Oryzias latipes: one gene and its partner. The protein of the gene in region 1 binds, or shares a complex with, the protein of each later gene. Links are inferred from orthologs where the notes say so. Each region holds a gene or a part of one and is shown on either strand. Other genes may lie near its edges.

The links. Proteins that work in one complex are often made in the same cells at the same time.
Region 2: the proteins of map2k1 (region 1) and ksr1 are in contact, whole or in part, in a crystal structure (PDB 9AXH), measured with the Homo sapiens proteins. The link is inferred for Oryzias latipes from reciprocal best matches to the Homo sapiens genes MAP2K1 and KSR1. Residues at the interface, in NP_002746.1 of Homo sapiens: Asp217, Ala220, Asn221, Ser222, Phe223, Val224, Gly225, Thr226, Arg227, Ser228, Met230, Arg234, Leu235, Gln236, Gly237, Met308, Ala309, Ile310, Phe311, Leu314, Asp315, Val318, Asn319; in XP_011523731.1 of Homo sapiens: Asn767, Gln768, Leu769, Lys770, Leu771, Ser772, His773, Leu776, Val784, Arg785, Met787, Thr788, Pro789, Asn823, Gln824, Ala825, Ala826, Glu827, Ala828, Ser829, Ile830, Trp831, Gln832, Gly834, Ser835.

Annotation. Positions count from the first base shown.
Region 1 is NC_019864.2:16,494,862-16,498,917, forward strand, and holds the start of map2k1 (dual specificity mitogen-activated protein kinase kinase 1), read right to left. Parts: upstream 2,801-4,056; coding exon 2,718-2,800; intron 1-2,717. UniProt on the Homo sapiens protein: Dual specificity protein kinase which acts as an essential component of the MAP kinase signal transduction pathway.
Region 2 is NC_019872.2:17,290,906-17,299,496, forward strand, and holds part of ksr1 (kinase suppressor of Ras 1), read right to left. Parts: intron 5,989-8,591; coding exon 5,848-5,988; intron 1,788-5,847; coding exon 1,640-1,787; intron 1,401-1,639; coding exon 926-1,400; intron 1-925.

The DNA.
Region 1 (4,056 bases):
CTTGAGAAGAGGTTTTGCAATGTAACATGTTCTTGGGTTTCAAAAAATCTATTAAATTAATAGAGCTTTCCTTTAACAGAGCAAAATCCATTCATCCCCTTTTGCTTATTTCTTTTTTTTCCCTTCAGTCTTCAAACCTTTTCTGTTACTTTTTACCATAAGAATGTCTAGTTTGATTAATGACATTTTAATATTCACCTACTTTAAATGAAATGTTTTGTGGAAATAGTTTTTCATAACCAAACACAGCTGGGTTTGAAATGGGAATTGGAATTAAAATAATTGAAATAAATCAAATTACATTGTATTAAAAACGAATTCCGATCATTTCGGTACTATAGCAGTTTTGCGCAGCCCTGAAGTATGATTTCTACATATCATAGGAGCATTGACTGATCTCCTGCTGTAGAGGTCTCCTTCAGCTTCATCACAGCTATGAATTTTACGTCCATGTCGAACCACAACTCACTGATAACTACTCAAAGCTGGGCATTGAGCTCTCCTCTAATGCTCCGTCATGCAGCAAAGACAGGGTTTAAGTGCTTTTATTTTTGTCAGTAGGGCTGCATATCCATGGAAACGAGCTACATGTAGATGTGGGCGGCGTGGGTGTTTTGTCAACAAGAGCTGGAGGTGGAGGAGATGAGAAAAGAACTAGCATGAAACACACTCAACACAATATATGTGGGTGCAACAACCACAGGGGCAGCACCACTTGAGGTGCAGGGGGTGTGCGCACGTAGCCGGCCTTTCTTGTATCCATTCGCGTCATATTCAAGGACATCTAATGGGAGATAAAGGTACGAAAGAAACCCGTTCTGCAGCTCTGCACCGAGCCTTGCAGACAAATGTCAGCAAAAACAGTGGATTTGAAAACAGTTTATGACAAAAATGATGAATATTAAGAAACTTAAATGAAGGAACTCAGATCTGTTAAAAAAAAAAAGAGTAGGCTTCTATGCAGCAAGAGGAGAGTTTCAGATTAGTTAATGAAATATTGTTTTGTCTTGTTATATCTTTGATTCCCTTTCTACCCACAGGGTTAAGGAGATACATTTGTACGCACAGGTGTGTTCAAAACAACATAGGGAGGCAGGAGAATGAGGCTTACACAGTAAAACGTACTTTTGTCAAATTATGCTGACAATAGAAAACTACCCAATGCTTAGAAATGCTAGACATATACATATAACTAACCTTTATGGTTACTTGACTCATTCTTTTCATCACACAAAATGTTTTTTTGCAAAATAGTGGATTTCCTGTTTTGACATACGTCAGTCAATGTTGTTAAAAGTTCATGTCGGAACCTAAAAAATACATTTTGGATCACATGTCAAGCAGCTGGATGGCTCAGTTAGCTGAGTGTAGGACTGGCGCATGGGAAACCAGGCTTCATCCAGTGTTGGTCCTTGAGCAAGACCCAAGGGGGGCCCCCCCCAAGTCTGGGTCTTCCCTGTGCCGGTCCCCAGTCAGCAAAAATACAGGACATCCGACGTAAAAATCACTGCCAAAAACACATGTCCCTTCAGTAAATCGGTAAAAGCTGATTCACTGAGGCGACCTCTGAAGGGATATGCCGAAAGGTGAACAACAACATTTTGGATCACATGTTACTAAGGGCCAGGATTGGAGGAGCTAATGTGAAGAAGAGCTTTCTACAGTTAATATTGATCTGGAGAATACATACCAAACTAGATGACTGCCATCAAGCACTCACATTATAGTCTGTTATGGAGCCATACAGTGTTGAGTTTCACATGGAGCTAGGAAAGTAAAATCTGTGTAATTTAATGGACCTTTTTTTTTCTATATGAATATAGAAAGTGCTTTTTAGACTGTTTCAGATAACTGTCAGAATGTACCCCAAAAAACCTGCTTAAAAAACAACAAGAACAAAGCAACACCTGTTTGCAGGTTAGCATCCTCACATTACATTAAACAGCAGTATTACCACATACTCTCAGCAGTTTAAAAAAAAATATCCCCAATCCTTGATTTAGATTTCCTTCATGTGCTCATTTGCAAAGGCTACAGATCACTTTCAGAGGCTGCATCTAATAAAGAAACCAGAAAGCATCCTGCCTGCACAAACAGGCTTCATAGTGAAGACCATGTTATGTAATGGGATCCAGCTTATTGGTGGAATGACAAAGAATTGTTTCCACAGATTTACACTAAACAAGGTGTCACAACAGGTTTATTTCTCCATTATCATGTTGGTTTTTTTCTCTTTACCTCCAACCCACACAAGCATATCACTAAACAGTGCCTCCCCTCAGAAATCAGCTGAAGAGAGCTGGAGAGCCACTTTATTTCACAGTGATGATTAGATCAGTCACAGTGAGGAGAGCTGTATTAACACTAATCTGTGACAGAGATTTGATTTCTCTGATTCTCTAAGCAGATCCCCTAAATTTAAAAAAAAAACACTGCAATTTTTGTTTATTTGAAACATTTTTACAAATATTTGACGCTATTGTATCTTTGGATTCACTGCTCGTCTTCTTAGTACTGTTCTAATAGAGGTTCTTGTGTTAGTAGTACTTTTTGAACCTATCTTTCTAATCAGTTTTAACTGTGAAATAAATAAATAATCCCACAGTCGGTGCAGACAGTGTCTCAGATTATTGTCACACCAAAAGCTCTAAATTCCTGTGGTAAACATAATTATGTAACATTTCGTATGTGACAAACAGCTGATCGCCAACACTCACTCGGAGGCTCCGGTTCCGTTCAGTGTGTTTCCGTCGGGAATCGGGTTCAGCTGGATCGGTTCTGGCTTCCTTCTCTTCTGCATGTTTTTTCTCAGGAATCGGCCTTTTTGTGGAATGAAAGCCGTGAGGACGGAGGGACAAGGCGGCCAGACGAACCAGTGGAACGAAAACGGAGCAGTGCTGTCACGACCTGCAGACCCAGCGCAGCTGATGCTTCGCTTAACGGGTGGACGTGAGCTGAACGTCACAAAAATGTTTACACCTTGGTCTTCCGGGCACCATGTCAGGCCCTGATTGCAGTGCGCCCTCTGCCGGTGACTGCTGGCATCGCAGTCCTGTGCAGCAGAGGGAAGTTCGTGTATTGTACAGGGGCGGACTTGTTGCACATGTGTGTGTGGGGGGCATTTACAAACATGGTCTAAAATAATTTCCTCAATAGTTTAAATCTGTCATAAAAAGCCCAAATTACTGAAATGGCATAAGACTGCTCGTGTGAAAGTGTTTTGTCCTCCCCTGTCCCTGTGTGGCAATGGACCATTCCGTCAACATCAAGTTAGATAGCAGAGAAAGACTGAACAGCTTTTTTTTAAGAGGCAAGATGAAGCGATTGTTAAAATGATCATTATCATTTTACTGTTAATGCAAGTAAAAAAACACACCTCACACAAAATGTTAACAATTTAAGTTAAACAACAACAAAACTTTTGCAAGAAGAACGACAATACAAGTACAACAGAATAAAATAGTATTTCTTTGTCATTTTTTTCATTGACACCACTCTGTAGGCAGGGAGTTGTTTTGTGCCATCACTCCAGGATTTTTGTGTCTTTTGCCATCTTTTGTCAGCTAATTAAAAAAACAATTATAAGACCCTCATTTGTTCCTTCTTGAAAGTAAGTGGGTAACAACGTAGCTCATTCAATAAATTCAGTGTTGTTGTTTTTAAAAAAAATGTATGTAAAACACATTTCTTTAATATTTTAATGTTTTTCAGTTATTATTCTTTTATCAAAACATTTGGATTCGTGATGCTGTCTAGAAGTGGACCATTGAAAAAGTTATTCGACTGATGATTCACTCAAGGTAAGGATTTGGAGTTTCAACTTCCTGCACATTTTTTAAATATCCGTTAGATAAATCCTGGCAAGCAGTTGGACTCTACTCTAAATAAAACACCTGCAAGTCATTTTCAAGAGAGAACAAACCTTTGCTCTTGTAGATGCCTTCTTTAAGGTACAGCTGCCAGAGGAAATAACAGAAATGTTAGTGAAAATCCATCCATCCATTTTTTTGATTCCATTGAATCCCTGTTGGGGTCAGGGGCTGGCAGAGCCTAACC
Region 2 (8,591 bases), on another chromosome or scaffold:
GTTCTAAACTTTCTCCAAAATGTATGGAGTGCCCTATGGTGCGGTGTTGCTTGACTTCAGTAAAGAGGACGTAGGAGAGGACAGCATGAGAATGGTAAAGGAGGGAAGTGTGGACGTGAAAGAAAACACACCTACGAATAGTACAAAAGTGCAGGTATGTGCATGATCCAGAACAACATCGTTTTGGCAACCTTGAAAATTCCACCTGCAAAGAGACACGCTTATGAAGTGCAGTTTAAACTGCAAGCCATCAGCTACGCGGAGGAAATTGGGAATCGAGCAGCTGCCAGAGAAATCAAGATTAATGAATCTGTGGTTCGCAAGTGGAGGAAGCTGGAAAACGAACTCCGACAGTCAAGAAGACGCAGCTGAATTTCCGCGGAAACAAGGCGATGTGGCCCGATTTAGAAGACCGACTCGAGTGATGGATTAATGATCACAGAACAGCTGGGAGAGGCGTCTCTACAGTCACCATTCAACTGGAGGCAGTGAACGCTTGCAGAGGAAATGAAAATTGAACATTTTCATGGAGGTCTGTCTTTGTGCTTTCGTTTTATGAAACGCCGTCATCTGTAAATCCGGACAAGGACTACGGTGGCGCAGAAACTTCCAGCGGATTACAATGAAAAGCCGTCCATCTTCCACTCCTACTGCAGTGAAAAGATTGCAGACAAACACACCCAGCCACACAGAACAGTGTATTTGGAAAGGGGTACGGAGATGGTGCGAAAAGGCTGTCTGACGGAGACTAATGGCAAATCCCTTATCAGTTAGCACTGCCAACATTCGTAAGGCTCCTGATCTAGATCCTACATGTGGCCTTAGTGTTTAGAGTTTGTGTTGACCCAACAATCTTCCTTCAAATCACAATCTAATCTATTTGTGTCTCGTTTGCTTTACTTAACGGCTTCATTCAGAGACCTACTTGTTGGTGGGAGGGTCCTCGATGCGGTTGCCCAACTGGGACTCGTGGCTTTTGCTGCGCGTCAAAGTGATGTTGGGGAGCAGATTCAGCAGTTTGCGCGATGGAGGTGGAGGGGTGCATGGAGGCTTTAGCCGGTGGCGCCTTTTTGAGGGTGGAGTCACGGGGGGCGTGGAGGTGTGTCCGTGGAGCCAGGCAGCACGGGGATAAGGTGGCGGGAATGGATCAGTGAGTGGGCTTTCACTGTGGATGTATGATGCCAGCGCCTCTGGTGTGGGGACTGAGCCTGAGCGGGGGTGGGGAAACGTAGCACTTGGGGTGGATGGGGTTGACTGGATAGTAGATGGGCGGGCAAGAGGTGATGGACTGTGAGGACGATTTCCCAGGTTGGAGAGCTGGTCTGCAGTCAGCAGGGAGCCACTGTCCCTCCTGGTGGGCTCAGATAACCAGTATGTGGCATCCTCCCTCAATTCTCCTCCTGTGAAATGACAGTCAAGTCAATCAAGACAGAGTTCACAACTACAATTTTTAAACTTGTCCTGTCCAGCAGTGACGCAAACAGATGTGTTGGACAGTTACTGTTACAGTAGGGGGTTATGGATCTTCAGACACACAAGGTGTTTATTTGTCTAAATCCTTTTGTATTTGAGGCTAAACTTTATTTATATTACACCAGTACATTTAAAATCAAGATGACCCCACAGTAGTACTCCATACCTGACTCCGTAGCACTCTTCAGACATGAAAGGGCAGACCTGAGTCTCGTACATTCTTCTGAACTGGACCCGAGTCTTCTCATCGTATCTCTCATCTGAACGTCTGTCATCTGAAGCAGAGCGTCTAGAGACAACTTTGCTTCAACTGCCTGCAAACAAGTCACAAGAGAGAAGTAGATGCTCAGTGACCTTGTAAAGAAAGAACAAACACATGACATAAAACAAACCCATTGATTCATTTATGTTCAACTTTTAAAAAACAAGGAGAAAAAAGGTTGCTTACAAAGAAAGATATTGCCTTAAATATGCTCAGTATAACAACAACCAGCTTTTCAAGCTCTAACATACATAAATCCAAGAAACATATTTAACAAAGGCGACAAAAAGTAAACTTTCCTGTTTTTAAGCTTTGTGGAAAGCCTCTGGAACAAACCTCATTTATCAAATATCTTGGAAATTTCATTTCTGATGATTGGCGGGATGACAGAGACATTCAGAGACCATACTGCAAACTCTACGCTCAGGCAAATATGCTGATGAGAAAATCCAGTATGTGTTCTCTTCAAGTGAAGTGTTCGTTATTCAGAGCTTACTGCCCTCTTCTGTATACTGCTCCTCTGTGGTGGAATTATGGAGGTGGGACAATCCGTAGATTCATAGTGACCTGTAACGATGCCTTTAAGCTTCTGCTACAGGCTAAACCCCTGGTACAGAGCCAGTCAGTGGTTTCTGGATGCTCACATCCCCACCTGTGAAGCACTACTACGTACGCTTACATACAGTCTCATGGAGCGCCTGGACAAGTCTAAAAATGCAATTATGTTTTTGACTGATCCTAAAAGAGGCTCATTCCGCTCAACTCCGCCACACTGGGCACAGAGGTTATACTCCTTTTTAAATGGTTGTAAACTGTAGTTTTGTTTTGTTTTTCTATTTTTATTGGTATATTTATTTATTTTTACTATGTATGTTGTATCTGTCTTCTTTTATGGACCGCATTTGAACATGAAATAAAGTGAATTATGTTGATGAATGGAGGATTTCCTTATTAGGATGTATGTTTCTGGCTTCCAGTATACATATTTTGCAGGTGATGAAAAACTACTAACAGAAAACATGCTTCTGGGCTTACAATTGATTTGAAAACGTTTTACAAAGTGCTCAAAGCCAGAAATATTTAAACTTATAGACTTCTGTTTAAATACGCCTATTAATGTTTTGGTAATTGACATGTACAGTTATAGCCCTTCGGTGCCCTGCTTTAAGACACTTCATTACAATCAGAGTGGTAACTAAACCTACCATCTTGCTATCAAAGCTAAACCACTACCTCATTGCTACAGCTACCAACAGATGGAAACAGTCAATCACAAGGTGAACAGTTCAAAGGATTTGGGCTTGAAGACATGCTCAATTCCTCTTTAGGTCCCAAGTGTCAGAATGGAAGAGAAAAGTCATTAAGGGGAACTGTTACGCATAGCTTGAGGATGCTGTGGTTTTAGGTACGAGTAGTATTTCAGTAACTGGAAAAAAAAAAAAATCTGTTCAACTTCAAGATAATTGTCCAAGGATTATGAAAAATCAGCCAATAGTGACAAACTTAGGCTAAAAGTGCTGCCAGACTCAACACATTTCTCAATCGACGAGGGAAAAAAAATATCTTGTATAATGAGTTTTTGTTCATTCATAACCATAACACAAAGGATTAAGTTTACTTTGATTGAAGCATCACTCTCCTGGCGATGGTGTTATTATATGGGGTATGACTTCTTGGTACATTTTTGGCTCCTAATTTTGAAGTGAAAAGTAAACCCCTTGTGGTTCTTGCTACCGTAATTAGCAGGTCTACCCCTTTCTGATAACAGTGCAAGTATTAAAAGGTTATAATTTTTTTAAAACTACTTTCTAGAACATTGACTGTATGTGAGAACTGGACGGAGTCCTTCAACGTCACGTTCCAAATAGGAAGTACCAAATTGGCTCCAAGAAGGAAAATTCCATTTACTTCTCATAAATAGCTAATACTCAGTCATTCTATTAGTCAGAATAGCCATTCTTGCTCTGCTATCTTTTTTAACATGTTCTTGCTAATACAAAGTTTTTCTGTGGTGCAACTTACTAAAGTTCTGAACTGGCCAATCGGGCGCGTCAATGAAAGTATGAGGTCTTACGTTGCATCTTCAAAACGTGTGATTGACAGATTCTCCCAAGCCCATTTTGTGTGGGGTGTGGACTTCCAACAAGCTCACTCCTGATTGGTTGCCATAGAAATGTTGACTGAGACTGACTCATACCAACTGATGCCTACTGCTGTTGTCTGGTTCCAACATGGTGGCATCCATATCGAGACTAAATGGGGACTGAATTGACTTCATATCGTTGGAGCTGAAAGTAATGGGAGATGTCACACTGACTCAGTCCAGTTCTCGTATACAGTCAACTGTTTAGAATGCAGTTATAATGTCATGGTGGATGGGTTGTTTCCAGAGTGATCAGATCTCAAACCATGTGAGTAATGTACAATCATGGTGGAATAGCCGTGATAAACGTAAACAGATTGATATGAAACAATGGCCAATAAATATCTTTCCTGCCAACATGAGAAAAACACAACCTTTCCTATAAACCTGACATAGTTTCATGGAGTATTTATGATTAATAACCACTACCTGAGATAAGAGGTTTTCTTTACTGCATGTGCCGATTTAATGGCTCAGTTAAACCTTTACTCTAAGTAGAGAAACACTGATTGCAAAACTAGGGCAACCTCCCACACGTGTGTAAACTACAAGCAAGACTTTATCGCACAGAGAGGCTAAGCAAGAGCGGGAGATGTTGTACTTAAAACTGCTGTGACTCCTCCCACCTCATCATTTGCAACATCTCCGATGCAACCGACAGAACACTTACAAATGATCGCTTTCTTGAGGTCTTACTCCGTCATGCACTGTTGCTGGGCGGAAATGCAACAGTCATCCAACACTGCACACCTGTTAACCCTATAGATTAGCTCGTTTAGAAACCCCTTTTATAGTTATCTGTGCACAGTTCCAGCATAAAGCTAAATGAAAATGTGTACCAATCTCTGGACAGCTGCTGTCAGTACAGGCTCCTCATACCTGTTAATGGCTCTGAAATGTACATAACATAACACCGACCCCGCAGTGGAGAACAAATAGTTACAGTGTGGAAATTTCAGTGTAATAATCTGAGATGATGACCAAAGTTGGTCATCAGGATGCAACAAAAGCTCCACATCCACAGAGCCAGTACTTATTTTTTCAAAATACATTAAATTTCTGACTCAAAGAAAACTCCTGACGTAGTCGTGTTTAGGGGTAATAATTGCTAATAACAGGTATAGAGCAAAGGAATGAGACAAGAAGAATAGGAGCTTCTCTGCACACCAAAATAAGAGAAAATAGAAAGAAAGTGAAAGAGAAATTTGGAAAAGAATAACACACAAATGCCTTAAATAGATGGGATACAAAAAGTAAAAAACTTTATACAAGGTTTTCCGTCGTGTGTGAGTCTCTACTGTTGCTCCACCTAAAAATATAAAACTACAGCAGACATGGCAATGAAAATCCAGGTAACCAAACAAGTTTCTAACAGGAATTATATTCCCTCAGTCATCTGGAAAGTTTATGTTTACACAGGGCACGGTCTGCAGTTTAACCCATTGTCGTCTGAAGGATGTAATAATCCTACGTTTAAAATCATTTAAATACCCTCACAAATTGGTGTGGGATCCTCTCCGCTCAACTGAAGACCAGAACAATCCCAGAAAGCTTTCATGTGGACCTGTGAAGTCTTCAGCAAACATTTGCTTTTGGGACATTCCTCACACTCCTGTGGAAAAGCCCTTTCTAGACTTGCAAACATGGTAGGAATTAGAACTGGAAGCTTAATTTTGGGGACTTGGAAAAAAGAAAAGTCTTTTATATATTGCAAAACATTAACAAATGTTTTGTCTAGCTCTTTCAGTCTCCATGGGCTCTCTGAGCACTTCAGTGCATGCTAAAAAAGGACAAAAACTCTTTGGCTCAAGTTCAGGTTTTCTGCCACTTATCAGGAATAAAAATAAAATTCTTCCTACTCCTACTGAACGGGTAACACTGGTTGCATTTTCTGAGAACACGCCATTTGTAATACAAACACTACAGTCCTTCCCTAGAATAGTCTGGCAATCAGACAAAGTCGGCCTACCTTGATGAGTTCTGTCCGCAGGTTGATGGTGCGCAGCCAGTCTCGCAAGTGAGGGTAGCTCTCCAGGGCCTCTGGCCTGTCTGTCTCTGGCACTTTGTGCTTGCACTGCAGCTGTTTACAGATGTATTTCATCAGCTTCACCTGCAGGGAGCAACAGAGAACATTAGACAGATGGGCTAGAAAAGAGACTGGGGAACTACAGCTGAAAGAGGCGGTGTGCCTCAGCAGAGACACAAAAAACATATCCAGTGAACAAACTTATAAAATATGAGACATAAAGACTGAAGTCCATTCATTCTTAATTACTCTGTACTCTGGCACAACCAAAGTTTCCCTACATCTACCTCAGACCAGACAGCAATAGCAAATAAACTGATGGCAGAACAAATTTAACTGAAACAAAAACAGCTGAGCATGAAAGTTCTCAGAAATGACCAAAGCGCCACATGACCAGCACTGTAATTTTATCAATGAATAACTATGGGACAACATGCAACGGTTTTGCGCACATCGACAGGGAAACCTAATCGTGTCTCAGTGTTTTTAATGTGTTCTTGTGGAATTTTTCTGATTATGGAGGACATGTATTAAGGAAATGTGCTCAAAATAGCATTTCTGAGTATTTCTTTATTCAAATTGTTGTGAATCAGGAGCAGACAAGAAAATACTGCTTGAAAAAGATTGTATTTGTTACATAGAAAATACAACTAAGTGGGCTACAACTCCCTGTTCTAGACTGGGGAGGGGAAGGGGGGGGGGGGGTTGCTCCCAGCTAATGGTACCACCCACAACTCAGAGACAAATTTCTAAGAAACTCCAGCCACTCTGCAGAAACCATGTCCTAGAAAACGACGTCATGAAAAAACCACTGGGAATGATTTTACAATAGCTCAAAGTGGGTTTATAAATAGCTTTTACTGGTTCATAAAGTATTTTAGGGTATTCCTGCAATTGCTAGGTTTAAATATTAAACTATTTCTTTTCTATGACTAATTCTTTAAAGTTGAATATGGAATATTTGTGATAATTACTAATAATGTTCATTTTTAAATAATTATGAATTGCTTCCCAAGGGGCCGCCTGATAAAGGTCTTCCAGGGGGCTCTTGGTTAATTCCTCTTTGGGTTTTGAGCATTGGAATAGAAGGGAAACTTTTTTTGGGATAATTGGTGAATATTTGGGTTTTGGGTACTTTAAGTGTTTCAGAAAGCGTTTTTTTAAAAATGTTTTAGGCTTCCAGAAAATTGTCCTAAGAGGATGAATGCTCAGCCAGAAGTGACAAACTTGGGCTAATGTGCTGCCAAACTCAACTATTATTTTTAACAAAGACTCAAAAATGTGGCCCCCTGTTCAAGGTCCTCCACGGTCCCTTATGAACTCTTTCCTGCACAATGAGGAAAACTTACGACGTGTGATATTAGTGAACAATATTGCAATGGCGATATAACTTGCAATACATGAACAAATGACAAAACACAAAACAACTTACACAACATTTCCATTTCACTGCAACAGTTTTATTTAAATAAATGTCAGCATGACATAAATGATACTCCAAATGATCCACATTTACATAGGAGATGGGAATCTAACAAAAGAGTTTCATTTGATTGGTCAACAAGGTGAAGTGGCCCATCCGATTGGTGAAATGCTTAAAGGACAGTATTTGATACGTTAAATAATTCAAACTGCCATGGGATTATTTTAGTATGTGTGCAGTAAATATTTAAGGTAACCATTTATCAAAGTGTATGCTGTCTTTTGCGGAGCACTGATATTGCAATGACGATACATTTGCGATTTATTAAGCAGGCCTATTATGAATCATGAAAAAACAGCTTATTAGGTCACAAAAATAAATATTTTTAGGTGCCGTTTAGGGTCTGGAACAAATCAAATAAATACCCAGTAATTGTAGCTTAAACAATTCATGTACATATAGTTGATTGGACAAATGAATGCAGATGTAGAAATATTTAGAACTATGTCATTTAATGAAGACAAAACTTAAAACAGTTACTAGGAAATGCAGTGCAAGCTCAAACGCCTGTTTTTGCATTCCAGCCTTGTTGTGTTTACAATTCGAAATGGGCACAATAATTACTGAAGCCTTGCTGAAATTTGTGCTGACGTTTAAAATGACATCAATCGCGGCTGTTTCAAAATATAAGATAACCTCAAATCTGCATCATGTAGGAATGTTCCTCTCTGAGGCCCGTCATCTCTAGCTATGGTTCTCCCGTGCTTTCAATTTAAATGTGTTGATCTGTCCTGTGAATAAGTTCTACAATGAACACCATGGTGTTGGTAAACCGCAGCCCTCAAAGTGCAGCTCAGTATGACTGTATAGTGTGTCCTTATCACGCAGTCTATCTCCAAGAGTCCGTTACACCGGCAGCACCCTGAGATGAGCCTTTAGCTGGCTGGTGTTGCACCTTTCAAGCCCTGAGCGAACAATAGGCGGTGTGTGTGTCTTTCTACGCTCATTCATGCATCTCTGTGACACAAATCGCTCACCAGCCACACAGAAACTCCAGGAGCCGCGCTGCTCACTGCGAATGCGGCCTTGGGGAGTGAAAAGGCTGCTTGGTGGCAGCTCACAAAAGAATCTCGGTTCCGCGTTGGAAACGTGAAAAGAGCAGACACGAGGAAAATGGAGGTAAAGGCTCTTTGTGCCGTCGCCTGGCCCTGCTTTCCTGCTCTTTATGTGCCTTACAAATAACATTCAAAAGTCACAGCAGAAA